Linked DNA regions of Anolis sagrei. The protein of the gene in region 2 purifies or fractionates together with the protein of the main gene of each other region. This does not show direct contact. Links are inferred from orthologs where the notes say so. Each region holds a gene or a part of one and is shown on either strand. Other genes may lie near its edges. The genes, in order: HNRNPUL2, MEPCE and SRSF3.

What was found.
Region 1: the proteins of MEPCE (region 2) and HNRNPUL2 purify together in Homo sapiens (affinity purification with mass spectrometry; 3 studies listed by BioGRID and IntAct, with this or other methods). This does not show direct contact. The link is inferred for Anolis sagrei from reciprocal best matches to the Homo sapiens genes MEPCE and HNRNPUL2.
Region 3: the proteins of MEPCE (region 2) and SRSF3 purify together in Homo sapiens (affinity purification with mass spectrometry; 3 studies listed by BioGRID and IntAct, with this or other methods). This does not show direct contact. The link is inferred for Anolis sagrei from reciprocal best matches to the Homo sapiens genes MEPCE and SRSF3.

What each region holds. Positions count from the first base shown.
Region 1 is NC_090032.1:12,991,791-13,002,221, reverse strand, and holds the start of HNRNPUL2 (heterogeneous nuclear ribonucleoprotein U-like protein 2), read right to left. Parts: upstream 4,858-10,431; 5' UTR 4,790-4,857; coding exon 4,261-4,789; intron 1-4,260. Other genes in the region: TTC9C (tetratricopeptide repeat protein 9C), read left to right, coding at 8,855-9,052.
Region 2 is NC_090026.1:2,897,398-2,907,594, reverse strand, and holds the start of MEPCE (7SK snRNA methylphosphate capping enzyme), read right to left. Parts: upstream 4,725-10,197; 5' UTR 4,433-4,724; coding exon 2,909-4,432; intron 1-2,908. UniProt on the Homo sapiens protein: S-adenosyl-L-methionine-dependent methyltransferase that adds a methylphosphate cap at the 5'-end of 7SK snRNA (7SK RNA), leading to stabilize it.
Region 3 is NC_090024.1:187,253,184-187,262,921, forward strand, and holds the start of SRSF3 (serine/arginine-rich splicing factor 3), read right to left. Parts: upstream 4,071-9,738; 5' UTR 3,886-4,070; intron 1,164-3,885; 5' UTR 1,162-1,163; coding exon 956-1,161; intron 276-955; coding exon 141-275; intron 1-140. UniProt on the Homo sapiens protein: Splicing factor, which binds the consensus motif 5'-C[ACU][AU]C[ACU][AC]C-3' within pre-mRNA and promotes specific exons inclusion during alternative splicing.

The DNA.
Region 1 (10,431 bases), on a different chromosome or scaffold from region 2:
TCCAGCCAGGAGGCAGACTGCTTTGGATAATACAGAACGTTGGATAAGTGAAAGTTGGATAAGCGAGACTCTATTGTATTATTATTAGAGTATTAGAGCTGTGAGGATAAGCAGGCAATACATAAAATAATAATTAGAGAGAATATTTGAGCCGAGGGGGGAAGCAGAAAACAAATAACATTATGATTAGTATCATTATTATTATTGCCAACAATAAGAGCCATGAAAGGCGGGTAACAAACAATAAACCACACACACACAATATTATTATATAATAATACATTTATTATACTACTAGCCGTCCCCTGCCACGTGTTGCTGTGGCCCACGTGGAGGTTGTGTGTGGGAGGTTTGGCCCAATTCTATTGTTGGTGGGGTTCAGAATGCTTTGTGATTGTAGGTGAACTATAAATCCCAGCAACTACAACTCCCGAATGTCAAGATTCTGTTTTCCCCAAACTCCACCAGTGTTCACATTTGAGCATATTGAGTATTTGTGTAGAGGATGGTCCAGATCCATCATTGTTTGAGTCCACAGTGCTCTCTGAATGTAGGTGAACTACAACTCCAAAACCAAAGGACACTGCCCACCAAACCCTTCCAGTATTTTCTGTTGGTCATGGGAGAACAGTTTGCCAAGTTTGGTTCAATTCCATAGTTGGTGGGGTTCAGAATGGTCTTTGACTGTAGATGAACTATAAATCCTAGCAACTATAACTCCCAAATGACATTTTTTTTAGTGAAGGACATACATTGGGTTGTTAGGTGTCTGGTGTCCAAATTTGGTGTCAATTCGTCTAGTGGTTTTTGAGTTCTGTTAATCCCACAAACGAACATTACATTTTTATTTATATAGATTATATATTATATAATAACTAATGTATATATACACATACAATATAATAATAATGTTGTTGTAATATACATATATATACACACACACCCCAAATAACTGTTTAAGATATAGATAGATAGATAGATATAAAAATGTAATGTTCATTTGTGGGATTAACCGAACTCAAAAACTACTGGACGAATTGACACCAAATTTGGACACCAGACACCTAACAACCCAGTGTATGTCCTTCACTCAAAAAAAAAGTCATTTGGGAGTTGTAGTTGCCAGGATTTATAGTTCACATACAATCAAAGACCATTCTGAACCCCACCAACGATGGAATTGAACCAAACTTGGCACACAGAACTCCCATGACCAACAGAAAATACTAGAAGGGTTTGGTAGGCAGTGCCCTTTAGTTTTGGAGTTGTAGTTCACCTACATCCAGAGATCACAGTGGACTCAAACAATGATGGATCTGGACCAAACTTGCCACGAATACTCCATATGCCCAAATACGAACACAGATGGAGTTTGGGGGGAATAGACCTTGACATTTGGGAGTAGTAGTTGCTGGGATTTATAGTTCACCTACAATCAAAGAGCATTCTAAACCCCACCAATCTTAGAATTGGGCCAAACTTTCCACACAGAACTCCCATGACCAACAAAAAAAACTGTGTTTTCTGATGGTCTGTGGTGACCCCTCTAACACCCTTTTATGACCTCTGCAGGGGACCCAACACCCAGGTTGAGAAATGGTTCCTTATGGCCATCCAATCCAACTCCCTTCACGGGGCAAGAAAAAATAACCAAAACCTTCTTGACAAAGAACCATCTACCATAGGTATAGATAGAAATGATTCACACACACACACACATATATACAGGTATATGAAAGATGTTGTATCCTAGATTTGAAAGGGACCCCTAAAGGACAATATGTTCCATGTTCCAGAGTAGGCAACCCAGACAATCTCTACATCAACATTGACCAAGAAACAAGTAATACTGTTGACCGACAAGCATCAAGAAACTACAATGATTAGAAACCAACACTTTTGCATTACCATATATACTTGAGTATAAGCCGACCCGAATATAAGCCGAGGCACCTAATTTTACGACAAAAAACTGAGAAAACGGATTGACTCGAATATAAGCCGAGAGTGGGAAATGCAGCAGCTATTGGTAAATTGCAAAATAAAAATATATAGCAATCAAATTACATTAATTGAGGAATCAGTGGGTTATATATTTTTGAATATTTACAAAAATTGTAATTTAAGATAAGTCTGTCCAACCCTGATTAAATGATTATTTACCTTCTTCAATGTAAATGTGCTTTTGTATCCTTCCAATAATAATAGAGAGTAACATAAGAAATGTAATAATAACAATAAAAAGAGTAAAATAATGAATGTAGCAATAACAACAATTATACAGTAAAATAATATATGTATAATAATAGAGTAAAATGATAAATGTAATAATAATAAATAGAATAAAATAACAATAATAGTAATAGTAGTAATAATAATAATAAAAGTAAAATAATAAATAACCTTGGCTCGAGTTTAAGCCGAGGGGGACTTTTCCAGCCTAAAAAAAGGACTGAAAAACTAGGCTTATACTCGAGTATATACCGACAAGCATCAAGAAATTACATAGATTAGAAACCAACACTTTTGCATTACCATATATACTTGAGTATAAGCCGACCCGGATATAAGCCAAGGCTAATTTTACGACAAAAAACTGAGAAAACGGATTGACTTGAATATAAGCCGAGAGTGGGAAATGCAGCAGCTATTGGTAAATTGCAAAATAAAAATATATACCAATCAAATGACATTAATTGAGGAATCAGTGGGTTATATATATTTTTTCTTTTCCAGATCAGCAGACTGGGCCACAGCAACGCGTGGCAGGGGACGGCTAGTATTATTATATAATAATAATAATAATACATTTATTATACTATTATACATTATATAATAACTAATGTATATATATACAGAAGACATTTCCATCTTGTCTTTACTAATAATATAATATAGTATATTGTATATACATATAATATTTATAATATTATAATGTAATACAATACAATACTAATAATAATTCAATATTATAATTATAATTATATATTTACATTACATGTAATATTACTAATAATATTACAATATAATTGTATAGTGCAATATAGTAATGTATACTGATATTGTACTATGCTAATAATATAATATACTGTATGAAAATAGATATTGTAAGTCGCTCTGAGTCCCGTTCAGGATGAGAAGGGCGGCATAGAAATGCCTTAAATAAATAAATATCCACATACCAAATAATGTTGTTATGCGGGTTTTTTTGGGCTATATGGCTATGTTCTAGAGCAGGGGTCCTCAAAGTAAGGCCTGGGGGCCCTCCAAGGTCATTTACCCGGCCCTCGCTCAGGGCCAACCTAAGTCTGAAATGACTTGAAAGTACACAACAACGACAACACTCCTATCTCATCAGCCAAAAGCAGCTCCATACTTCCCATACTACTAATAAATATATAGTTGTTAAAATTGCTCTTCATTTTAATTATTGTATTTTTAAGTGTTTTTTGCACTACAAATAAGGTATGTGCAGTGTGCCTAGAAATTCATTCATGCTTTTTTCAAATTATAATCCGGCCCTCCAACAATTTGAGGGACTGTGACCTGGCCCTCTGTTTAAAAAGTTTGAGGACTCCTGTTCTAGAGGTATTTCTCCTGACGTTTCGCCTGCATCTATGGCAAGCATCCTCAGAGGTGAGGTCTGTTGGAACTGGGAAAAAAGGGGTTTATATATCTGTGGAATGACCAGGGTGAGACAAAGGGCTTTTGTAAATTGGACTAGGTGTGAATCTTTCAACTGACCACCTTGATTAGCATACAATGGGCTTGACTGTGCCTGGAGCAAACTCTTCTTGAAAGGTGATTAGATGTCCCTGCCTGTTTTTCTCTCTGCTGTTGCAATTTTAGAGTTTTTTAATACTGGTAGCCAGATCTTGTTCATTTTCATGGTTTCCTCCTTTCTGTTGCAATTGTCCACATGTTTGTGGATTTCAATGGCTTCTCTGTGTAGTCTGACATGGTGGTTGTGAGAGTGGTCCAGCACTTCTGTGTTCTCTAGAACATGGCCATATAGCCCGAAAAAACCCACAAGAACTGAGTGATTCCAGCCATGAAAGCCTTCGACAATACAATGTTGTTATATATATAACATTATTATTTTGTACACACACACACACCAAATAACTGTTTAAGATATATATATAGACACAAAGATATAAGGTAGGGAGGTGGGGATGGAAAACAATAGCGTGGCGGGCAAAGAGGAGGCCTGGTCAGGAGGATGGGGAAGCGCGGCGGGCGGGCGTTGGGCCTTCTTACCCTGGGGCTTGTCTCCGGGCTGGGCCTCGCCGCGGCCCTCTTCGGCGGCGGCGGCCTCGGCCTCCTCCTCCTCTCCGCCTCCGCTGCTCCCCGCTCCTCCTTCCTCGGAGGCCCCTTGGGCGCCGTTGACGCCACTGCCAGGCTGGGCTGAGGCCTGCTCTTCCGCGCTCGGCGCCGAGGCCTGTGCGGGGCCTCCTCCTGCCGCGGCCGCCGCCTCCTCCTCGTCGGCCAGCAGCGCCTCCTCGTCCTCCTCCTCCTCCTCGTCCTCGTCTTCCTCCTCCTCCTCGTCGTCGTCGTCATTTTCGCCGCCTCCCGTTCCCAAGCGGGCCCTGCCGAGGCCTTGCCCGGCCGCCGCCGCCGCCGCTCCCCCGGCCTCGGCGCCGGCTTCTTCGGGGCCCGCGGCCAACATCTCGGCGTCCAAGGCTTCCTGGAGCCGCTGGGCCAGCTCCACCTTGAGGCCGCGCGAGTCCAGGCCCCGCCGCCCGAGCTCGGCCCGCAGCTCCGTCACCTTCAGCCGCTTCACGTCCATGGCGCGCGCGCTCCGCTGCGGGGGGAGGGAGCGAGGGAGGGGGGAAAGCGAGCCGAGCTCCGAGGGCTAATGCGCCTGCGCGGCTCTTCCCGCGGCACTGCGCCTGCGCGGCTTCCGCTTCTTGCGCTGCGTTGCCCTCTCTCGCCTATTCTCCCACTGCGCCTTTGCGCATGCGTGGCCTGCTTTCTCCCACACCCGAAACCCTCCTCCGGGCTCTATTGCGCAGGCGCGTCAACGCTTTCCTCCTTCACCAACCCCAAGCTTAAAACGCTGTACCATCACGCGCGCGCGATTTTCAGAGTCCACCACGACGCATGCGCTGTCGCCTCCCTTGTTGGCCCCTATTCCCCTCGACGCTTAGCTCTTTGTTTGTACGCATGCGTGTTGCGCTTTCTGGAAAGCTGCGTTTACGTGCGCCGTTGTTGTCTTTTGGCGGGCAGCTAAGACGCTTAGGGCAGTTGTTACAAGAGATCTGATTGGTTGAAGCGAACCAATCGGAATGAAGGACTCATTGAACGGCTGTGGTTCAAAATGAGCCATGGCCCCCAGGCTTCTCATTGAAACAGAATAGACAATTAAGCTTTTTTTTTTTTTTAAACTATATCTAAATCGGGAAAGTATATAATATTTAAACAAGAAGACAAAAATATAGACATCTTAATACAGCTTATAAATAAATTCGCCCACATCTATGCCAGGCATCCTCAGAGGTTGTGAGGTCTGTTGGAAACTAGGCAAGTGGAGTTTATATATCTGTGGAATAATGTCCAGGGTGGGAGAAAGAATGTTGCAATTGGCCAGCTTGATTAGCATTTGAAGGCCTAGCAGTTTTCAAAGTCTGGCTTCTTACTGCCTGGGGGAATCCTTTGTTGGGAGGTGATTAGCTGGCCCTGATTGTTTCTTGTCTGGAGCTCCCCTGTCTAGCCTCGTTCATCAGGTGCCCTCTTTCTCTTGCGGCTTGTTTTTGGTCTTGCAGCTCTTCTGATGTCTCTGGGGGAGTATCCATTGGCCTATAAAGGCCAATTTACACCCAAACATCCAATTCACCATGGAAAAAGAAATGAAGGAAAACTGCCATGTCTAGATGTCCTAGTCATCTTCCAACACTAGGATTATATAATTCCGAGGCTGGATGGCTATCTGTCAAGAGGGCTTTGAATGTGCTTTTTCTTGCATGGAACAGAGTTCACTTCACTTCACTTCACTTTATTTCTTAGTCGCTCTCCACCAAGGTGCTCCGAGCGACTTACAGTCTAAAATAGCATTTACACAATATGAAAACATTCAACATAAAAACATTCAACAGTGACTATTTGGCATATTAGATCTGATTACTTAAATGCACAACCGAACAGTCAAGTCTTGAGCGCCTTTACTAAAGGTCGCAACTCCGACATTGCTCTCATGTATGGAGGCAATGAGTTCCACAGAATTGGAGCATAGGTCGAAAAAGCTCTACGCCTTCCAGGTGTCCCTCCCTAGGGCCCGGTATGTAGAGGAGATTTTCCTGGGTGGATCGAGGTGACCACTGATGGGGAAAAGGAATGAGGCGGTCCCTGAGATATAAAGGTCCTTGGCCATTTTGAGCTCTAAATGTCAGGATCAGAATCTTGTAATAGATCCGATGTTCTATTGGTAGCCAATGCAGTTGTTGCAGAATAAGTGTAATATGGGATCTCATAGATGATCCCGCTAGCAGCCTGGCCACTGCATTTTGGACCATCCGAGTTGAACTGGATGGTTTCTTCCAACACTAGGATTCTATGATTCCGAGGCTGGATGGCCATCTGTGAGGAAGGCTTCAAATGCGCTTTTTCTGCATGAAACAGGGTTGAACTGGATGGCCCTTGTGAAGTCGATAGGAACTTTAGAAGGGTCTACCCCAGGAGGAGAGACCCTGCGGCCCCACCATTGGTGAGCAAAGAGAAGCCTAATGTTAAGCAATTGATTTTCCCTAAGTTCCCAAAAAGAATCTCACCAAAGTTGAAGAAAGTGCCACTGAGGTTTATTAGTGATTCAGCTCTTTCTTTTTTTTTGTCGTGTCAGGAGCAACCGCTCCTGTTGTGAGAGAATTGGCCGTCTGCAAGGACGTTGCCCAGGGGACCCCTGGATGATTTTTTGATGTTTTATCATCCTTGTGGGAGGCTTCTCTCATGTCCCCGCATGAGGAGCTGGAGCTAATAGAGGGAGCTCATCCGCCTCTCCCCGGATTCGAACTTGTGACCTGTCGGTCTTCAGTCCTGCAGGCACAGGGGTTTAACCCACTGCACCACCGGGGGCTCCATTTTAGCGATTCAGCTGAAAAGGATGCAAAGCAGCAATCATTCGCCAAGCTAAGCATGAAGTTACACAAATAAATGCCATTTTTATAGAAAATACAGAGTTGTGTGGTTCAAATCTCCCGCTCCCCCCTCTCGCCCAGCTCGAAGGGGTTTGGCTGATGCGCAAACAGCTGGGAGGAGGCTTGGCCATCCCCCATGCGTCAGGGCCAATCACAGGGCTTCCGTGGTGCGCCAGAGCCAATCAGGAGGCTCCTGCCGCCTCTGCGCTCCAGCGAATCAGAAGAGAGGGGGTCGGGACGAAGGAATATACTGCATTCTTGAATGGATTATGGCTTTAATGTCCAGGAGGCTTAACGAGTCCAGAATCGGCCTGCCAGAAAAGCCAAACTTATTGTCTTGAGATTGGTCTGAGATAAGCATTGATTACTTAATCCGAGTTTTCATCTTGCGATCAGACATTCACCAGTCACAAAGGGGGTGACTGGTGAATGTCTTCAGTGGAAAGGTTTGAAAGAAAAACTGGTTGGGGGAAAAAGGGCTTTCCGAAGGTCATCCCCCCCCCCCCCCCCATTGTTATATGATTAAAAAGTCTGCCAAGCGAACTTCGTCTTGATGGCCCGACTCCGAAGTCAGGAAAGATAATTCTTTGTATTTTCCATGCAAGTAAGGTTCTAAGATAAGGGTCTTCACAATCACTAATTGCTGTTTCCAGAGGCAGGGCAGCTTCCTTATACATTTTCCTCAAGGATAGGGGCAAGGTCAGATTCATGAAGGGAAATATAGAAATACAGGAGAAAATATAAAAATATAGAAATCATAATACAGAGATTAAATCCAACTATCCTCCCCCAGTGTCCATAGTTCATATTATTCATAGGAAGCTCCATAAAGGGAAATATATCAATGAGGGGGAAAGAGAGTCCCTTGTTTGTGAGATGGGGGACCATCAGGAGCCCAGGTGTGTCTCAGATGGAAACGTCAAATACTTTTGTGGCATGATTTTCAGTAATAGATTGGTTACCTTCTGCTATAAACATATGAAAATAGGGCATAAAGCCTTGATTAAATGATACACACCAAACTGACTAAGGCTTAACCCTTATTATCCAGTCTGGTGTCCTTGCCCTTAGCAAAACTATAAGTTACTATCTCTAATGGGGGCGGGGTCATGTTCAACTTCACTTGGGGTCTCTTCCAACACTAGGATTCTGATTCCGAGGCCGGATGGCCATCTGTCAGGAGGGCTTTGAATGTGCTTTTTCTGCATAGGGTTGAACTGGATGGCCCTTGGGGTCTCTTCCAACACTAGGATTCTATGATTCCAAGGCTGGATGGCCATCTGTCAGGAAGGCTTTGAATGTGCTTTTCCTGCATGATACAGGGTTGAACTGGGTGGTCCTTGGGGTCTCTTCCAACACTAGTATTCTATGATTCCGAGGCTGCGTGGCCATCTGTCAGGAGGGCTTTGAATGTGTCCTACTGTCTGACAAATAGGGGTTGAACTGGATGGAAATCCAAATGTAGGATTCTATAATATAATATTCAAGTTTGTGTGTGTAAAAGTCACCATATATATAAGGTGACTTTTGGGACACCCAATACATGCTTTACTATTGTGCTTAAACAAGTGAAGCCATGTGCAGTTAACCAGTTTCCCATCGGGCGGAGCTCTTGGTCCATAGATAAACCTCACTAAGTCAGCAAACTCACTTTCCCTCTATGCTGGGTAAAATGGAAGGGAGTCACAAAACAACTCTTGGTTTTCTTTGCCATAGAAAACGATATGAAATGCATGGGTTTGCTACGAGCCCTTGAAGCCATGCGCATGTGCCTTCATGCCACACAGACCAGCTCATACAAAAGGAAAGGTCTATGGGTTGCCTGCCGGAAACTGGAATCTATGGTCCAGCCCCTTGTTTCCAGGACAGCCTGCCTTCCTTCCCTAAATGCAGCTGAGCTCCAGAGCAGCCTCCTGAAGAAGGTAAGAGCCTCCCCCTGAATGATCTTATACACAATGCACATAAACTTAAATGCCGTTTGGCCTTAAGTTTCTGCTGACACAATGTTTGCTTTTCACAAAGGAGAAAGGCAAATTTTATTTATTTATCGTGTCAGCAGCAACCAGACATTTGTATTACATTTTTAACAAAACAAACAAACAGACAAAACACAAAGTTTGCAAGCTTGGTAGTTGATTAAATGTCCTTTGACCAGTATCTGGCCACTTGGAGTACCTCTGGTGTTGCCGCAAGAAGGTCCTCCATTGTGCATGTGGCAGGGCTCAGGGTGCATTGCAGCAGGTGGTCAGTGGTTTGCTCTTCTCCAGTCTCGCATGTCATGGATTTCACTTTGTAGCCCCATTTCTTAAGGTTGGCTCTGCATCTCGTGGTGCCAGAGCGCAGTCTGTTCAGCGCCTTCCAAGTCGCCCAGTTTTCTGTGTGCCCAGGGGGGAGTCTCTCATTTGGTATCAGCCATTGGTTGAGGTTCTGGATTTGAGCCTGCCACTTTTGGACTCTCGCTTCCTGAGGTGTTCCAGCGAGTGTCTCTGTAGATCTTAAAAAACTATTTCTTGATTTAAGTCGTTGACATGCTGGCTGATACCCAAACAAGGGATGAATTGGAGATATCACTGCCTTGGATGTCAGGTGGTGAAATACCGGCTAAACAGTGTAATTTCTCCAGTGGTGTAGGGCGCAGACACCCCATGTCTCATTAAGAGCCACATCCACTGTTTTAGTGTGGTGAGATGTGTTCCACACTGGGCATGCATACTCAGCAACAGAGTAGCATAGCACAAGGGCTGATGTCTTCACTGGTTCAGGGCTGGTTGTGATCCCCAGGTTGTGCCAGTCAGCTTTCATATGATACTGTTTCTAGCACCCACTTTTTGCTTGATGTTCAGGCAGTGCTTCTTGTAGGTAAGAGCACGGTCCAGAGTGACTCCCAGGTATTTGGGTGCGCTGCAATGCTCCAGTGGGATTCCTTCCCAGGTGATGCTCAGAGCTCGGGATGCTTGTCTGTTCTTAAGGTGAAAGGCACATGTCTGTGTTTTAGATGGGTTGGGGATCAGCTGGTTTTCCCTGTAATGGGCAGTAAGAGCGCCTAGAGCTTCGGAGAGCTTCTGTTCAACCATCTCAAAGCTCCCTGCTTGAGCGGTGATGACACGATCATCAGCATAGATGAAACTCTCTGTCCCTTCTGGCATTTGTGTAGATGTTGAACATGGATGGATGGATCCATGTTCAAGAAAGGTAATTGTAAAGGTAAGACAGCATTAACATTTAATTCCCCATAGCCACTAAATTGTTCCCACTTTGGGATGGATTTAAATTACTGTATCTTAATTACCGTATATACTTG
Region 2 (10,197 bases):
TGTGTTTTTCAGTGTTTTTATGAGTGATGGTCATTTGTTGAACTGACCAGTGTCTTGTGTCCAAATTTGGTGACAATTCGTCCAGTGGTTTTTGAGTTATGTTCATCCCACAAACGAACATTACATTTTATTTATATATAGACTAGCCGTCCTCTGCCACGCGTTGCTGTGGCCCAGTCTGTGTATATATTTTGTGTGTGTATATATGTGTGTATATGTATATATATATGTGTGTGTTTGCATATATATAGATATAGAAATATTGATGGGTATATATTGTATATATATGTGTGTATATATTTGTGTATTTCTGTGTTTATATGTGTATATATATATTGAGTATATGTGTGGTTGCGTATATGTATGTGTGTATGTATGTCTATATGTGTATGTGTGCATGTGTATATATATTTGTGTATTTCTGTGTTTATATGTGTATATGCATATTAAGTATGTGTGGTTGTGTATATGTATGTGTGTATGTATGTCTATATGTGTATGTGTACATGTGTATATATATTTGTGTATTTCTGTGTTTATATGTGTATATGTATATTGAGTATATGTGTGGTTGTGTATATGTACGTGTGTATGTATGTCTATATGTGTATGTGTGCACGTGTATATATATTTGTGTATTTCTGTGTTTATATGTGTATATGCATATTAAGTATATGTGTGGTTGTGTATATATGTGTGTATGTATGTCTATATGTGTATGTGTACATGTGTATATATATTTGTGTATTTCTGTGTTTATATGTGTATATGTATATTGAGTATATGTGTATGTGTACATGTATGTGTGCATGTGTATGTATGTGTATATTTGTCTGTGCTTGTGTATGTATGTGTGCATGTGTATATGTATATGAGTGTATGTGTACATGTATATAATTTATTTTGGGAAGTTTAAGTCTGTTCTGCTGGGGGTTTTTTTGTGTGTTTTTATGAGTGATGATCACTCGTTGGCCTGATAGGTGTCTTGTGTCCAAATTTGGTGTCAATTCATCCAGTGGTTTTTGAGTTCTGTTAACCCCACAAACGAACATTACATTTTTATTTATATAGATTGCTTCAAAAAACAACTGAAGACCTACTTCTGCTCACTAGCGTATGGAGAGGGGGAGCATTAAATACTAAGAGATCATTACTGGGCCCTGATTGAGAATTATTTTGCATCTCCTACTCCACGCTAGCCCAATAACCACCGCTTGACTGCACAACCAACCCACACCTCTAGTTGGCTGTTGTAAATTAATATGGATGTTTGCTTAGATTTTATGCTATAATTTTTCCACTACATCCAGTTTAATTTATTGATGTTAGACTTAATTTATTGATGTTAGGTTTTAATGCTTTTTTCATATGTGGGCTTCTCTGGGATTATCTCAGTATTCGTTTGTTTTATGCAGGCATTGAATGTTTGCCATTGTATGTTGGAATCTGCCCAGTCCCCTTGGGGAGATAGGGTGAAATAAAATTAAATTTATTATTATTATTATATTTTGTATTATATATTTTGTATTATTGTAATGTTCTGTATTTTGATTTTATTATCATTATTATTAATTATTATGTAGATGTTAGTGTTATCATTATGCGGTGGAGGCTCCTTCTATGGAGGCTTTTAAACAGAGGCTGGATGACCATCTGTCGGGGGTGCTTTGAACGTGATTTTCCTGCTTCTTGGCAGAATGGGATTGGACTGGATGGCCCACGAGGTCTCTTCCAACTCTAGGATTGTATTTATTTAACCCTGCTTTGGATGTCATTACCTGGGGAGATTAGGCTAGCTCCCACCTTGTCAGCTTATAGGAAAGGCTTGAAAACCTGGCTGTTCTGCCTTGCTTTTGATGAATGAACAATAATCCCCACACTACGACAGTCCCAGCACATACCTGTCCTCTTGATGCACCTTGCCTTATTCCTAGCGAGTAATTAAGCCCCATAGCTTGTCCCTCCTGTACCTCCCAGTGGTTAAATTGCTTCGGTTATCCTTTCCTATGTCCCTTGATTTTATCTTCGCACCTTGGCCCTTATTCCTAATCTTATATTACTTTATACCCAATATGTTAATTTCTTTTCTTGTTTGTATGTTATTGTTTTATTGCTGTACTTTATTTTAATTTTAATTATTATTAGCTGTCCCCTGCCACATGTTGCTGTGGCCCAGTCTATGTAGATGTGTTTTTAATGTGCATGTTTGTGTGTATGTGTGTTTGCATATATATGTGTGTGTGTGTGTGGTTTTAAGCATGTGTTGTAATGTATTTTTTGTTATTTGTAATGTATTTTTTGTCTTCTGCTGTGCTTTTAATGAGGGTCACTCGTTGCCCTGATGGGTGTATTGTGTCCAAATTTGGTGTCAATTCATCCAGTGGTTTTTGAGTTATGTTAATCCCACAAAACATACATTAAAATTTTATTTATATAGATTTGCTGTATGTATCTTATTTGTTTACTGTATTCGTTGGGCTTGGCCTGTTAGCCACCCCGAGTCCCTGAGGGGAGATGGTAGTGGGGTATAAATAAAGTTTAATAATAATAATAATAACCCATTCAGATTAATCCCTTATCCCTAATTTTATTTTACTTTATACCCAGTGTTATTTCCCTTTTGTTGTTTATTTATATATTTACCACATTTATATACTGCCCCTCTTAGCCCAGAGGCGACTTGGAGCGTGTTATTGTTTGTATGTTATTGTTTTATTGCTGAACTTCAATTTTAATTATTATTTGCTGTACATATCTTATTTGTTTACTGTATTCATTGGGCTTGGCCTCATGTTAGCCACCCCGAGTCCCCGAGGGGAGATGGTGGCGGGGTATAAATGAAGTTTAATAATAATAATAATAATAATAATAACCACCCACTATGCCATCAGGAGCCTCCTTGCCTTACCTTGATGAAAATGACATTGTTGGGGAACACAGAGGCATCTGTCCCTTCCTGAGGGACCCTCGGAGCGGCGATGGGGCCCCGGCTGGCCATCAGAGAGGCAGGGAAGGTCTTTCTGGCCGCGGTGCTGCTCGGACCCTCGTCGCTCTCCTGCTTCTGCTGGTGGAGCTCCTCGGAGAGGTAGTGCCGGATGTTTTGCCGGGCCGAGTGGATGAGGTGCCCGTCAATGTCCAGGCCCACCATGCGGGCAGGCCCCCACTTCTTGGCCACGCTCAGGGTGAAGTGTCCCACGTTGCAGCCCACGTCCAGCACCTCTTTACCTTGGAACCACTCCGGCTTCATCACCCGCAGCCGGGCATCCTCGCAGTCGGGGTTGCGGTATCCGTAGTACTTGCAGTAGTTGCCGTACTGGAACTTGTGCCGGGGCTGTCGGCGGGCGGACGCGGGGGGCGCGTGGCGGGAACGGGGGGCACTGCGGGCCCTCTCTGGGCTGCTCCGGGAAGGCTGTTCCAACGCCGAGGAAGGCCCCTGATGCCGCGCGGCCGCCACTTCGGATTTGCTACAAGTCCTGCGCCGCTTGCGGTGGTGCCGGCTCCCTGTGCTGGCGGACGATGCCACAGAGACGCAGGAGGGGGTGACGCCCCCTCCGGCGGAAACCCCTTGGTGGCTGGGCTGGGGCTCCCCATGTCCGGCGGGAAGCAGCGGCGAGACCACCTCATCCCTGCAGTTGATGACGGTGTTGAGTTCGTACGGCTGGGGGGTGGCCCCATTGCAGGGCTTGGACTTCTGGCAGGAAGCCGAGGCGGTGGCGGCGGGCGTCGCGGGAGCCTTGGTCCCCGCTCCGTCGGTGCTGCCCCCCCTCTGCGCCCCTCGGTGCCGGTGCCGCTTGCGTTTGGCGGGCGAAGCCAAGACGGGAGGGTCGTCCTGGGCGTTGTTGAGACTCAACGGGTCGGTGATATCCTTGGGGATGAGGATCTCCACGGGGTCGCGGCCTTTGGCCGGCAGCGGCGACGACTTGGGGGTCTCGGCGTTGAGTGCCTGGTTGACCTCCTCGTCCAGGAGGCTGTTGAGGTTGAGCGGGTCGAAGATGTTCCCGCCGAGGAGGAACTCCGACGGGAGGACCGGGTCGCACTCGGAGTTGACCCTCCGGCGGCGCTTGAAAGCGGGGTGCTTGAAACCGCCTCCTCCACCGACATTGCAGCTGTTACGCCTCTTGTTGGGCCTCTGTTGTGGTTGTTGTTGTGGTTGTGGAGGGGCCTGGAAGCCATTGCGAGGCTTGTGGAGCTCAGCTAGGCCGTCTCCCTCCTCCACAGAGGCCTCCACTCCTCGTTGGGGGTCTGTGAGGCCTCCATCCCCACCTCCACGGCTCCCTTGGGCCTTCCCCGCCATGGGGCCTCCTTTCCCGGCTGCATTTCTAGGCAAGTCCCCGGCTCCACAGGTGGTAGGCCCCTTCGGAGGGGGTTTAGGCAACGGGGGAGGCGGGGCCGGGACTCGGAAGGCGTCCTTGTCGGCCGCCATCTCGATCATCCCTCAGGCCAGCCGGGGAAGAGGAGAGAAGCAGCCTTGTTCCTCTCCTCAGCCCGCCTCACGTTGTTTCTGCCTCAGACTCCTTCTGCGCGTGCGCAGTACGCTCCCTCGGCTGCTCCCTTCCTTTGCTCTCTCCCGCGCAGGCGCACTCCGCGATCAAGCCCAGCCTCCGTCGCGCAGGCGCACAAAACACCCACAACGCCCCGCCCTCTTGATCAGCGCATGCGCAGCCCAGCCAGCGCTCCGTCCAAGGAAGAACGCTTCGCGCCTCCCGATTTCCTGCGATGGCACGCTCCCCCCTCAGCGCTGGGTTTATATACCTTGTGGGCGTGGCTAATATACACCACGCCCCCTCGGTTCGATGACAACCAATCAGAGCCCGGCGCCCGCTCGAGCCGCGTGTATCGGAAACCAATCAGAACCAATTCCTCACAAGGCGCCCCTCCTTTTCTTCCTCCCGCCTCCTGATTTAGATTTCAACCAATAGGAAAGCAGAAGGGGAGCTCCTCCATCCAATCAAAGCTCAGCACTCGGATCTAATTTTTCTCCTCAGAGTGGGTGAGGGTCCTTCTCGGTATAGGGTTGTCTAACTCATACGCCTGCATGAGCGTTATTTCGAGCTTTAAAGTCGCAAAGGAAAGGCGAAGTAGATATATTTCCCCGCATTGGATGTGTTAAATAATACACTTTTCGTCAACTGCCAAAAATCTGCCTCGAAGAACAAGCCGGTTTTTTTTCAGGCATTGGCTTAGTCTCCTAAAAAAAGAGGAAAACAGCCTCACTTGCCAAAGATATAATCTATTTTAATATAATTTAAGTAAATCCGCCCTTGGAACCAATACTTTCACATTCTTTGTGCAAAGAAGAATTTTAATCATTTTTTGTTTTTCTTTTTAAAAGGGTTTCCCAATATGGACAGTTGTCAAAAGATCACATGGCTCCACTTGCCTGAAACGGATGCCTGCAAAGCACTCTGGGAACTGTAGTTTTGTTCCAGGCCCCCCAGTGGCGCATGCGCCGAATGTCGCAGCCGCCACTGCTTCTTACCAACTGCGCAGGCGCGGGAGGTGGGTAAACAAACAGACCCCAGGACACGCGGGGAAAGGGAGAGGAACGTGGGAAAGGGCGGCACGGGATTCATAGAGGGCCAATGTGTTTATTGTTACACTGATGGGGGAGGTTAGGCTCAAAGGCGAGTTGTAAATCTATATATCTAATATATATAGATCTATGCTGATGATTGTGCCATCACCGCTCAAGCAGGGAGCTTTGAGATGGTAGAACAGAAGCTCTCCGAAGCTCTAGTTCAGGCATGGGCAAACTTGGGCCCTCCAGGTGTTTTGGACTCCCAACTCCCACAATTCCTAACAACCGATAGGCTGTTAGGAATTGTGGGAGTTGGGAGTCCAAAACACCTGGAGGGCCCAAGTTTGCCCATGCCTGCTCTAGATGCTCTTACTGCCTATTACAGGGGAAACCAGCTGATCCCCAACCCATCTAAAACACAGACATGTGCCTTTCACCTTAAGAACAGACAAGCATCCCGAGCTCTGAGGATTATTACCTGGGAAGGAATTCCACTGGAGCATTGCAGGGCACCCAAATACCTGGGAGTCGCTCTGGACTGTGCCCTGACCTACAAGAAGCACTGCCTGAACATCAAGCAAAAAGTGGGTGCTAGAAACAATATCATACGAAAGCTGACTGGCACAACCTGGGGATCACAACCAGACACAGTGAAGACATCTGCCCTTGCGCAGTGCTACTCTGCTGCTGAGTACGCATGCCCAGTGTGGAACACATCTCACCACGCTAAAACAGTGTTCCTAATGTTCCATCTGAACATTAGGAAGAACTTCCTGACTGTGAGAGCCGTTCAGCAGTGGAACTCTCTGCCCCGGAGTGTGGTGGAGGCTCCTTCTTTGGAAGCTTTTAAGCAGAGGCTGGATGGCCATTTGTCAGGGGTGATTTGAATGCAATATTCCTGCTTCTTGGCAGAATGGGGTTGGACTGGATGGCCCATGAGGTCTCTTCCAACTCTTTGATTCTATGATTCTATGTGGCTCTTAATGACACATGCCACATTATCACGGGGTGTCTGTGCCCCACACCACTGGAGAAATTACACTGCTTCACTGGTATCGCACCACCTGACATCCGCCGGGAAGTAGCAGCCAATAGTGAAAGGACCAAGGCAGAGACATCTCCAGCTCATCCTCTGTTTGGGTATCATCCAGCACATCAACGACTTAAATCAAGAAATAGTATTCTAAGATCTACAGGGACACTCTCTGGAACACCTCAGCAAGCGGGAGTCCAAAAGTGGCAGGCTCAAACCCAGAACCTCAACCAATGGCTGATACCAAATGAGAGACTCCCCGCTGGGCACACAGAAGACTTGGAAGGTGCTGAACAGACTGCGCTCTGGCACCACGAGATGCAGAGCCAATCTTAAGAAATGGGGCCACAAAGTGGAATCCACGACATGCGAGTGGGGAGAAGAGCAAACCACTGACCACCTGCTGCAATGCAACCTGAGCCCTGCCACATGCACAAGGGAGGACCTTCTTGCGGCAACACCTGAGGCACTCCAAGTGGCCAGATACGTGTCACAGGACATTTTGCAGACGACACCAAATTGGGAGAGCCAAGACTCCAGAGGACATGAGCAGGATTTCAAACGATCTTGACAGATTAGAGAGATGAATGGCCAAAATTAACAAAATGAAGTTCAACAGTGACAAATGCAAGATACTCCACTTTGGCAGGAAAAACAAAATGCAAAGATACAGAATGGGGGACAGTGCCTGGCTCGAGAGCAGTACGTGTGAAAAAGATCTTGGAGTCCTCGTGGACAACAAGTTAAACATGAGCCAGGAATGTGATGTGGCGGCAAAAAAAGCCAATGGGATTTTGGCCTCAGGCATCAATAGGAGCCTAGTGTCTAGATCTAGGGAAGTCATGCTCCCCATGCTCTATTCCGCTTTGGTTAGACCACTTTACCTGGAATATTGTGTCCAATTCTGGGCACCACAATTGAAGGGAGATATTGACAAGCTGGAATGTGTCCAGAGGAAGGCGACTAAAATGATCAAGGGTCTGGAGAACAAGCCCTATGAGAAGCGGCTTAAGGAGCTGGGCATGTTTAGCCTGAAGAAGAGAAGGCTGAGAGGAGATATGATAGCCATGGATAAATATGTGAGAGGAAGCCACAGGGAGGAGGAGGGTGCAAGCTTGTTCTCTGCTTCCTTGGAGACTAGGATGCAATGGAGGTCAGCTGTGACCAGCAGTGCTGCAGAATTTGAGGAGGCACGAGTGGAGGGTGAAAGAGAGAAACGTGCCAGGAGGAAGGCGCGTCAAGCCAACCCCGGCCGAGACCGCCTTCCACCTGGAAACCAATGCCCTCACTGCGGAAGAAGATGCAGAGCAAGAATAGGGCTCCACAGCCACATACGGACCCACAGGGAAATCCATAATGGAAGACCATCTTACTCGTCCAACGAGGGATCGCCTAAGTAAGTAAGTAAGTAAGTAAGGAGCCATGGCTTCAAACTACAAGAGAGGAGATTCCATCTGAACATGAGGAAGAACTTCCTAACTGTGAAGAGCCGTTCAGCAGTGGAACTCTCTGCCCCAGAGTGTGGTGGAGGCTCCTTCTTTGGAAGCTTTTAAACAGAGGCTGGATGGCCATCTGTCAGGGGTGCTTTGAATGCAATATTCCTGCTTCTTGGCAGAACGGGGTTGGACTGGATGGCCCATGAGGTCTCTTCGAATTCTTGGATTCTAGGATTCTATGACATTTAGTATAATGCCAAGTTTTCAAACTTTCTTTGTGGGTTTTTATACATTATAACTCTATTCTCAATTTGCTTCTGACACAATAAATAAATAACTTGGCAAATAGTTGCAGGTATCTTTTTGTACTGGTGGTATCAGGTATGAAGATGTGAGAATTATGTTGTGCCCCACAGATGCTTATAAATACACTACAAATACAGCAACAGAGCAGGCTAAAGCCAGGGGGGAAAAATAGAAAGCTTGTTTTCTGCTGCCCTGGAAACCAGGACTCAGCGTAATGGGTTCAAATTACAGGAAAGGCGATTCCACCTAAACTGTATTAGGAAGAACTTCTTGACCGTAAGGAGAGCTGTTCAGCAGTGGAACTCTCTGCCTCGGAGTTTGGTGGAAGCTCCTTCCTTGGAAGGTTCTAAACAGGCTCAATGGCTATCTGTCAGGGGTGCTTTTATTGTGCTTTTCCTGTATAACAGAATGAAGTTGGACTAGATGGCCCATGGGGTGTTGCCCCTTGCAATTGTAGAGAAAGGAGAAGCAATAGCTGTGGGTCGGAGTGCCAGTATTCTTCCCCTGGGACTCTCTGAAAACATCCACAAAGAGATTACAGGAATGACCCACCCTGGTCATTCCACAGATATATAAAACCCTTTCCCCTCGTTCCAACAGACCTCACTACCTCTGAGGATGCTTGCCGGCTGGCGGGGACGAGAGATAGGGCCTTCTCAGTGGTGGCTCCTCGGCTGTGGAACACCCTTCCCGTGGACATCAGGCTAGCTCCCTCCCTGTTGATATTCCGCAGGAAGTTAAAGACCTGGCTGTTTAAGAAGGCATTTGGACAAGAAGTGCAATGATTGGTAATTTGACCATAGGAATGGAACAACGGAAATGATATCGGATTGTGGGTTTGACGATGAGACGACTCGGAATGGCTTTTGTAGTAATGTTGATGTTTTGATGAGATGTTTTTTGATAATGTGGATTATTTTACACTATGTTTTGTATTTTGCACCTGTTTTTCTATGTTGTACACCGCAGTGAGTCGCCCTTGGGCTGAGAATTGCGGTATATAAGCGAAGTAAATAAATAAATAAATAAATAAATAAATGCAGGCGAAACGTCAGGAGAGAATGCCTCTAGAACATGGCCATATAGCCCGAAAAAACCTACAACAACCCAGATTACAGGAAGTTTGGTTAAAAGGAAACCATTACTGATGTGAAAATGCACAGGAAGTGGCTGCCATTTATCTACAAGGGCGAATTGCGGTTTCCATTGCCTTCCAAGAGAAGCCTTATACCTTTTTTTGGTCAGACAAAGGCCAGTCTGGAGAGGTCCAAGGACACAAAGACAGCCTTGGAGGGCCAGGTGCAGCCCAAGGCCACCCACGGGTCCTTCCTCCCACTCCAATACCTTTTGAGATATTCTAGGTGGCACTAAGCTCTATAGCCAGCATACATAATGGTAAGGAATGCTGAGAGACTTGGGGGGGGGGGGGGGGGGTTCGCGAGGGTCACCAAAGACCATCAAAAACACAGTATTTTCTATTGGTCATGGGGGTTGTGTGGGAGGTTTGGCCCAATTCTATCATTGGTGGGGTTCAAGGGGCTCTTTGATTGTATAAATCCCAGCAACTACAACTCCCAAATGTCAAGGTCTATTTTCCCCAAACTCCACCAGTGTTCACTTTTGGACATATTGAGTATTTGTGCCCAGTTTGGTCCAGATCCATCACTGTTTGAGTCCTCAGTGCTCTCTGGATGTAGGTGAACTACAACTCCAAAACTCAAGGTCAATGCCCACCAAACCCTTCCAGTATTTTCTATTGGCCATGGGAGTCCTGTGTGGCAAGTTTGGTTCAATTCCATCGTTGGTGGTGTTCAGAATGCCCTTTGATTATAGGTGAACTATAATCAACTACAACTCCCAAATGACAAAATCAATATTTTTTTTTTGAGTGATGGTCACTCCTT
Region 3 (9,738 bases), on a different chromosome or scaffold from region 2:
ATCCCTCTAACACATACTTAAGGAATTTAAAATTTGGTGATTCAATAGTGACATACATCCACAAGCCTTTTAAAAGCCTATTATGACAAAACGTTAATATTGCCAAAATCTCTGTTCAAGTTTTTTTTAATGCCAGATACCTGCGGCGAGGTGGAGGACTTCTCCTGCGATAGTCATCTCGAGGACGCCTACCCCACGAGGGAGGAGGACCACGGTTTCGACTACGTTTTTCACCATTAGACAGCTCCACTCTGACACGACAACCACAAAGTGTTCTGCGAAATAAATTAGCTATTGTTAAAGTCCAGAATTAATTCAGCCAAATGTGCCAACATCTAAAAAGAAGTCCAGTCTACTTCAGAACCAAAATATATTCCAAGCCTCCATTGTTACTGGAGATGATAGCAATAACGATTTTATTTCTTATCCACCTTTCCTCGTGATAGCTTAGTTTATTTGATTTATATCCTGCTTTTCTCCAAAAATGGTACCTCAAAAAGGCTTGCAGGGTAAGTTTAAAACAAAACATCTAAAATCTCTATGAATACAGAAGAATGAATGTTTGAACCAACATGACATTGGCCTTCAAAACGTAAAAGTATTTGAAGACTTAATCATTAGCTGTCGATACATTTATGAAAAGAGCTCCCAACCAGCATTTTAATTTAAAAGAACTGCAACTTCTAGAGGCTAAAGTACTGCACATTTGCTTTCCAAACAACTCCCCTTACCTATGCAATTAATTATAATTCACACTAATTTAATACATTCTTATACATTCTTATTACTTCCCATTCTAGGACATCAGTGTTATTTCAGTGTTTTTCAACAATGCTGAATTGTTTTAGTGTATTATACAATTTTTGCATAACATACAAATCAAGGCTTTAACCACAACTAACCTATATGCCCCCAGAACTTATCTCTAAGATGTAAAAAGCTGGGGGGTTTTTACCTCCCATCTAGCTCTCTCACGGCATCAGCTGCATCACGTGGGTCTTCAAATTCAACAAAAGCAAAGCCAGGGGGATTCCTAGCCACCCATACACTTCGCAGAGGTCCATAGTAGCCAAAAGCCCGTTCCAGTTCCGTTTTGTTGCCATTGTTCCCAAGGTTACCTACGTAAACCTTGCAGTCCAGCGGACACGAGTCACGATGCATCTCTACAACATGATCAAGTAAAAAATGTTGTCAAGCTTCCACTATTAGCACATACTAAATCCTGTGATGTTCACTCCAGTGGGGAAATGTAGCATGAATAAATCTGACTGTTCATTTCAGAATATGTGCCTTCAAGTTATGTTATAACAATAACTATTTTATTTTTATACCCTGCCATCATCTCCTCAAAGGGACTCAGGGCGACTCACATGCAGGACCAAGCCCAGAGACAACACGGTTTACCAACTAAAACATAATTATAAACATAGTAACGTATCACAACCCAATTAATCAATTAAAAATAGCAGGGTATAAAAACTTAATTGAAATTTATAGAAAGTAAACCTCGACAATCAGTGACCAGAAATACAGTGGAAATAATCAGAATTAGTGAGGGCTGGGCATGGGCTCGTGCAAAAAGCAGACTATAGTCCCCCCCCCCTCCAAAGTTAGTCTGCTGTTATAGTTGTTGCTAGTTATTATTGTTACGTATTGTCAAAGGCCTTCATGGTCGGAATCACTGGGTTGTTGTAAGTTTTTAGGGGCTATAGGGCCATATTCTAGAGACATTCTCTCCTGACGTTTCGCCTGCATCTATGGCAAGCATCCTCAGAAGTAGTGAGGATGTTGTTTTCGCTGTTTTATGTTGTCTAAATTGTTTTACTTTGTTTTTAATTGTATTCTGTCTTGGGACCCCGAGTCCCTTTGGGGAGATGGAGGCGGGGTTGAAAAATAAAGTTCTTCTATATAGGGCAAGCGCTGGGGGTAAAGTGCCGAGTACAACCTATCCCTCAATTAGGTCTGGGCATTCATGAACAGGGACCTAACCATCAAATGCACACTGACACATCCAGGTTGCAACTCCATGGATTACATACTGTTCTTCTGGGGGAAGGAATATTCAAGAGGTGGGTTGTCGTAGGTTTTTGGGGCTATATGGCCATGTTCTAGAGCAGTGGTTCTCAATCTGTGGGTCCTCAGATGTTTTGGCCTTCAACTCCCAGAAAACCTAACAGTTGGTAAACTGGCTGGGATTTCTGGGAGTTGTAGGCCAAAACACCTGGCGACCCACAGGTTGAGAACCACTGCTCTAGAGCTATTCTGTCCTGACGTTTTGCCTGCATCTATGGCAAGCATCCTCAGAGGTAGTGAGGTCTCACTACCTCTGAGGATGCTTGCCATAGATGCAGGTGAAATGTCAGGAGAGAATGCCTTTAGAACATATATAGCCCAAAAAAAACCTACAACCCAGTGATTCCGGCCATGAAAGCCTTCGACAATACATTCAAGAGGTGGTTTGCCAATTCATTCTCTGAAACATACCTTAAAGCAGTGGTCCTCAACATGTGGGTCCCCGGATGTTTTGGCCTTCAACTCCCAAAAATCTTAACTGCTAGTAAACTGGCTGGGATTCCTGGGAGTTGTAAGCCAAAACACCTGGCGACCCACAGGTTGAGAACCACTGAGCTAGATTCTCAGATACTCTGATATTACAGTGCTCACATATATTGCTGGGGAAAGAGAGGGACAAATATAGTTTGCAGTGAATGGCCTTTTGAAAATAAGGGAAGGGTCCTACTGTATGAAATACAGGATGTTTTTGCAGTTTAATAAACCTTCCCCATGTTTTATGATCGAGCAGTGATTCTTAACCTGTGGGTCCCCAGATGTTTTGGCCTTCAACTCCCAGAAATCTTAACTGCTGGTAAACTGGCTGGGATTTCTGGGAGTTGTAAGCCAAAACACCTGGGGACCCACAGGTTGCGAACCACTGTCTTAAAGCACTTAGTATTCATTGGAAGCCTCCCAACCAAGTGCTAACCAGGGTTTGTTTTTTTTTGTCGTGTCAGGAGTGACTCCTGGTGTGAGAGAATTGGCCGTCTGGAAGGACGTTGCCCAGGGGATGCCCGGATGACTTGATGTTTTCATCATCCCCGTGGGAGGCTTCTCTCATGTCCCCGTATGTTGAGCTGGAGCTGATAGAGGGAGCTCATCCGCCTCTCCTCGGATTCGAACCTGCGACCTGTCGGTCCTCAGTCCTGCCAGCACAGGGGTTTAACCCACTGCACCACCGGGGGCTCCACAGGGGTGACCCTGCTTAACGTCCAAAACAAGACAGGGCCAGAGGCCCCACTTTAAGGCAGGATGTTCATTATAAACACTCGTCAGCCTACAGATAAAGGCCCATCTACACATAATGCTGTTTAACTGCACCGAACGAGCCTACACTGGCCATATAATGCAGTTTCAAACAATGGCAATGTAGGTAGGGCCATAAAATGCTCTTTCCTGAAGCCGCTAATGTGAGTTCGGAAAGCCCAAATGCAGCAAATGAATAAATAGGGTGACTTTTCTGCATTTGAAATGTTTCACAAAAAAAAACAACTTGAAAATCCCCTGCGTCGATTGTCGAAAATAATGCTGCTCATCGGTGGGGAAATTACAGCTGGCCGGATGAGGAAAATAACGGCTTGTAATTAACGCCGCTTGGCGCCCAAGTAGGAAGAATTCGGCATCCATTTCTTCGACCTTCTCTTTTTAATGGTAGGTGCGTAAGAAAGAGCCCCCCGTGCCGAAGGAGCCAAGCCTTCCCTCCCACCCAGGGCCCCACCCCCCGACCGGGGCCTGGCGTTACTACTTCTGCTCCACAAAATGGCGGCGGCTCTTTGTCCGCCCTCAGGGCCGCGAGGCCTGCCACCCCGCCCGCGCCCCTCCCTCCCTCACCGGCTGCCGGGCCAGGAGCGCCAAGGGCTTCTCACGCTGCCTTTTCTTTTCCTGCCTTCGTCGCCTCTTTCTCTTTGTCCTTCGGCCCTTAAAGCGCGCTCGGCCTCGCCTTCTTTCCCGCCAAGGCCTGAGCTGTTAACCACCCTCGACTCTTTCGTACTGGACAAAATGGCGGACGGCAACGCCACGGTCTTGTATTTATATGCGTCCTGCCCATAGAGTCACGTGAAGAGCCTACCCACCAATGAGAAGCCGTGTCTTCAGTGATCGACATCTTCGAAACCCAGCTCCGCCCACACGAGCGGTAGCCCCTCCCCCTTTCTCCTGCCTCTGACTGCAGGCAAGGGCGCGGTTACCATGGCAATCTCTGTGAAGGGAGGCTTCGGCGAGGCCTACACAGAGGCGCGGGAGGGAGACAGATTTAGGCCTTTCTCTGGCACGCCATGTAGGGTGCATCTACACCAGGCATAGGCAAACTTGGGCCCTCCAGGGGGTTTGGACTTCAACTCCCATCATTCCTAACAGCCTCGGGTCCCTTCCTTTTCCCCCTCAGCCGCTTAAGCGGAGGGCCCAAGTTTGCCCATACCCGATACACTGTAGAACTAATGCACTTCGACTCCACTTTAACTGCTATAGCTCAATACTATGGAATTCTGGAAGTAGTAGTTTTACAAGGTCTTCAGCCTTCTCTGTCCCAGAGTGCTAGTGCCTCACCAAACTAAGCATCCCTAGATTCCACTGCATTGAGCCATAATAGTCAAAATGGTGGGAAACTGAATTAAATCTAATGTAGCTACACCTTGGGAGTGTCCACTCAAATCCTGTAGAGCTTAATTTTGAATAGACAAATTTAGAATCCAGCTATCGGGAGTCACAGTGAACTATATGCTAGAACCTGCTTCTGTGCTTTTAAATAGGAATAAAGGACATGTAGGATCTTGTGGGATTACATTTCCCATCATCCCTTATTTCCACTGGTTAGATCAGGGGTCCTCAAACCTTTTAAACAGAGGGCCAGGTCACAGTCCCTCAAAACTGTTGGAGGGCCGGATTATAATTTGGAAAAAATGAATGAATTCCTATGCACACTGCACATATCTTATTTGTAGTGCAAAAAATAATTAAAAACAATACAATAATTAAAAATGATGAACAATTTTAACAAATATAAACTTAATAGTATTTCAATGGGAAGTGTGGGCCTGCTTTTGGCTGATGAGATAGGATTGTTGTTGTTATTGTTCTGTGTTTTCAAGTAGTTTGAGACTTAGGTTGACCCTGAGCGAGGGCCGGGTAAATAACCTTGGAGGACCGTATCCTGCCCTGGGCCTTAGTTTGAGGAACCCTGGGTTAGATTATGATTTATGGGCAGGACACAATACAGTATCTTCACTGGAGATTTGAAAACATTAGACAGCTAAATGGATTTCTGCACGACGGCTTGACTAAATAACCATTAGTAACCATGGGAGCTTTTGCACAATCAAAACTTGTGCATCAGTTGCGCCCATACCTTGGGAAGTCAGGCTTGGCCACGGTGGTCCATGCTCTTGTTACATACTGAATATATTACTGCAACATGCTCTATGTGGAGTTGCCTTTGAAAACTGTTGGGAAGCTTCAATTAGTCCAAAGGTTGGCAGCCAGGTTTCTAACTGGAGGAGCGTTCAGGAAGCACACAACCCCCCTGTTATGCCAGCTCCACTGGCTGCCAGTCTGCTAACAAGCACAATTCAAAGTGCTGGCTTTGGCTAGCTTATAAAGCTAAACAGTTCCAGCCCAGCATATCTGTCCAAACACCTTGGAAGTTAAGATCATCTGGGGAGGCCCTGCTCTTGATCCCACCACCTTCACAAGCTCGATTGGTAGGGATGAGCGACAGGGCCATCTCAGTGATGGCTCCTCATCTGTGAACTCAATGAAATCAGGTCAGCTCAAGATGTGGCAGTGGGACCAAGCATTCAACCAGTAAATAGTATAATAAAGATAACGGACTAATGGAATTGACAACTGGACAATCCTTGGACTACAATCTTGATTACTGGATTTTAATTGATGTTTTAATAATTAATGTTTAATTGTATGGTTTTAATTGTATTTATTTATTTTTATATTCGTATGTATTGGCATCAAATAGCTGCCTGCTGTAAGGATGCTCCGAGTCCCCTTTTAAGGTGAGAAGAGCGGGATACACATCATGAGGAGACAGGAAAGCCTAGAGAAGACAATTATGCTGGGGAAAGTGGAAGCCAAAAGGAAGAGGGGCCGACCAAGGGCAAGATGGATGGATGGCATCCTTGAAGTGACTGGACTGACCTTGAGGGAGCTGGGGGTGGTAACGGCCGACAGGGAGCTCTGGCGTAGGCTGGTCCATGAGGTCACGAAGAGTCGGAGACGACTGAACGAATGAACAACGAGCGGGATACAAATATATGAAAAAATACATAAATAATAAATAGTATCCTTTCTCACTTTGGGAAGGCCCCACTTTCCCACACTTGCCTTTTGTTTCATTCTTATTTTTCAGTAGGCAAGTCTCTGTTTTGAAGTTAATTGTTTTGCAGGAAGCTGTACTTTAGTGGCATAATGCTATGGAATTGGGCATATGGTCTTGCAAGGTTTTTAGCCTTCTCAGCCAAAGAATGCTGGTGCCTCACCAAACTACAACTCCCATAAATTCATAGCACTGAGCCATGACCATTAGTGGTGTCAAACAGCATTAATTCTACAGTATAGGCACACCTCTAGTTTCTATTAAGCTAGAAAAGGCAGGAATGAACTTGCTTCAATTATCATTCTATGTGCTCTTTAAACTATTGCCATCCATGGTTGTGATGATGCCTAATTCAGCACTTTTGAAGCTATGTGATATGGCAGGCTGGCACTCTTTCAGTGTGTCGCTGGTATATATTTGCCCTATTGTTATAACATAGTCCCCTGGAAATGCACCACAGACCAGCACCTGATGGAATTATCTAAACACTGGATATTAGGTTGGTAAGAAATACAAGGCCAGGCTTTTTGTTGGTCGCTATTGCATTGGTAGAACTTTCTCCCAAATGAAGTCAGGCTACGTCCATTTTTGTTAAATTTCTTACATGCACTATGTAACATCTTGGGCTCTTACTATTGTGCTTAGTCTCTCTGTGTGTGCATGTTGAATGTGATGCTTCTGTTTCTAAATTATCATTTCATTGTACACTGCTTTGAAGGCTCTGGTAAGCAGAAAAAATAATTGACACTTAAGCAAGGAGGTAGACAAACATCTGGATTCATTTGCTTGCTGCATTTTATAATGCTTTTCAACTGGAGTGGGACACAAGGCAACTTCCAAAACTATTTAAAATATTTACATTAATATCAAAAAACAATTAAAAGCAGATTAAACATCATTAAAATACTTTAAAAAAACATATAAAACTCAAATGAATATACCTACCATGAAATAAACCTTGCAACTTACATTTGGAAACCACAGCTCTATACTAAGGAAACAACTTCTCAGTCTGACTCAGTTGCAAATACAGTTAATAGGGTACTTTGCTAATGTGCTAATGTGGTGCTTTGAAAGAGGAAGACTGCAAGTGGATTGATTCAATCAAGAAAGAGAATACTCTTGACTTGGCAAGAACTCATCAGAGCAGTTCCTGGGCGGGGCTTTTGGGGGTCTCTCATGCATATGATAGCCGTTAAGTTAAAGTCAAATATGAATTATAGCAACCCAATGCAAATTGCAGGTTGAATCCATGTTGTTGTTGTTTATTTGTTCAATCGCTTCTGACTCTTTGTGACCTCATTGACCAGCCCATGCCAGAGCTCCCTGTTGGTCATGGCTACCCCCAGCTTCTTCAAAGGCAAGCCAGTCACTTTGAGGATACCATTCATCCATCTTGTCCTTGGTCAGCCCCTCTTCCTTTTTCCTTCCATTTTCCCCAGCATCACTGTCTTCTCCAAGTTTTCCTGTCTTCTCATTATTTGGCCAAAGTACTTATTCTTTGCCTCTAAAATCCTTCTCTCCAGTAAATCCATATATGGATGGGCTACAATTGTTATTTGAGTCTTAGTGCTTTATTTTTCTTTTATTTATTAATTATTTATCACACTTTTCATCCAAATAAGACATAAAAATATAAATGATTTTTTTCTTTTATCTGTGGCTTGAGATGGGAATACAACATGGTTAAAACACACAGATAAAACACAATACTAGAAAGAGAGAGAGAGAGAGAGAGAGAGAACAAAATTAAAACACCAATACTAACCAAATGTAAAGTTACAATTTATAATTTAAAATTGACTGGCCTGCCAGAAGTATGGCATGTAAATAGTTTTCTATGCTGACAGAGTCATGTGAATTCAAATTTATTTCAAACTGTTCTCTATAATTGCTACTATAGATCTCAAATTAATTTTCAGACTTTTAAAAAGGATCCAATCACATAATGTACTTTTAGCAACTTAAAGATGTAGGTTCCTCATAGTACTTCACTAAATTGCCAGTTTTTGCATGAAACAAAAAGCCAAAACAAGGTCTTTATCACACCATCATGTTATACCACATTTTTCCATTTGAAAGTCACTTCAGCTATATTCACGATGATGATGATGATGATGATGATGATGATGATGATGATAATAATAATAATAGTTTTATTTATATGCCACCCCCTCTGCCTAGAAGGACTCAGGACAGCTTACAACAGAAAAAAACACAATACAGATGATAAACATACAACCAAATCAAACAATAAACTCACACAATAATTAAAATATAAACATATATATAAACATATAACATTAATAAAATTAAAAATGATAGCTGATTGTTGACACATAGTGTACACATAATACCCATGTCATTTTTGCAGTTTTATAATGTGATTTACATGTTTTCTTTTTCATCCACACCAACGCCATTATTACTATCCTGTTTGTTTCACCGCGTGTTAGAGTATTGGTTTATCTTTAAGCTGTTTTATTTTCTGAACCATGAAGTCTTCATTACCAACAATGCCATTTGTACCACCATTGGTTTCCCTTTAATTTTTTTAAAAATATTAAGGTATAATCACATGTCTATAGGATTTCATCAAAGCACTATAATAATACTGTGATGAAAATATGAAAATAATAATAATTAAAATAGTGTGGGTCCTTAATATCTGCTGGAATTTGGTTCAAGCACCCCCTATGGATACCAAAATCTATGGTTGCTCAAGTCTTATTATATTCAATGGTATAATAAAATAGTGTCCCTTTTATAAAATAGCAAAATCAATAGTTGGGTTTTGGATTTTTTAAAAAAATCAAGTCATAGATGGTTGAAACAATGGAGAGGGTTGACTCTATTTTATAAACAGTAACACTAGTGGTGACACTGTAGTGTGTAGTATCATAAGAAAACAGCAGAGGGGTCTTTGGGGGGAGCCTGCGCTGTAATGATGACTTCTGAATAGTGGCTTCTATAGGTTAACAGGTCAGGATTACACTGTTAATGCATTATAACAGAAAATCATTGATGTAAGAAAAAAAATTCAAAGGTTTCAAGAACACATAGAACATACAGACCACGAAACAAAGCTGTTCTCTAGGGAAATCATTTCCTCCTTGCCCAAGCATGAACACCACACCCACAATGCAATGATTTTCGCAATCAAACATGCACACCCCAACTGGTAACTGAACCATATCGAGAAAGGAAATCTTTAACGGATTATTTAAAAATCAAATTCCCAACCATTCTATAACATAACAACACATGACATTGTGTGATAAGGTTGAGGAAAGGTGGGATTAATCCACTGCTATAACAATATTACATCATGATGTGATAAGCAGCAAAACCAGTGGGAA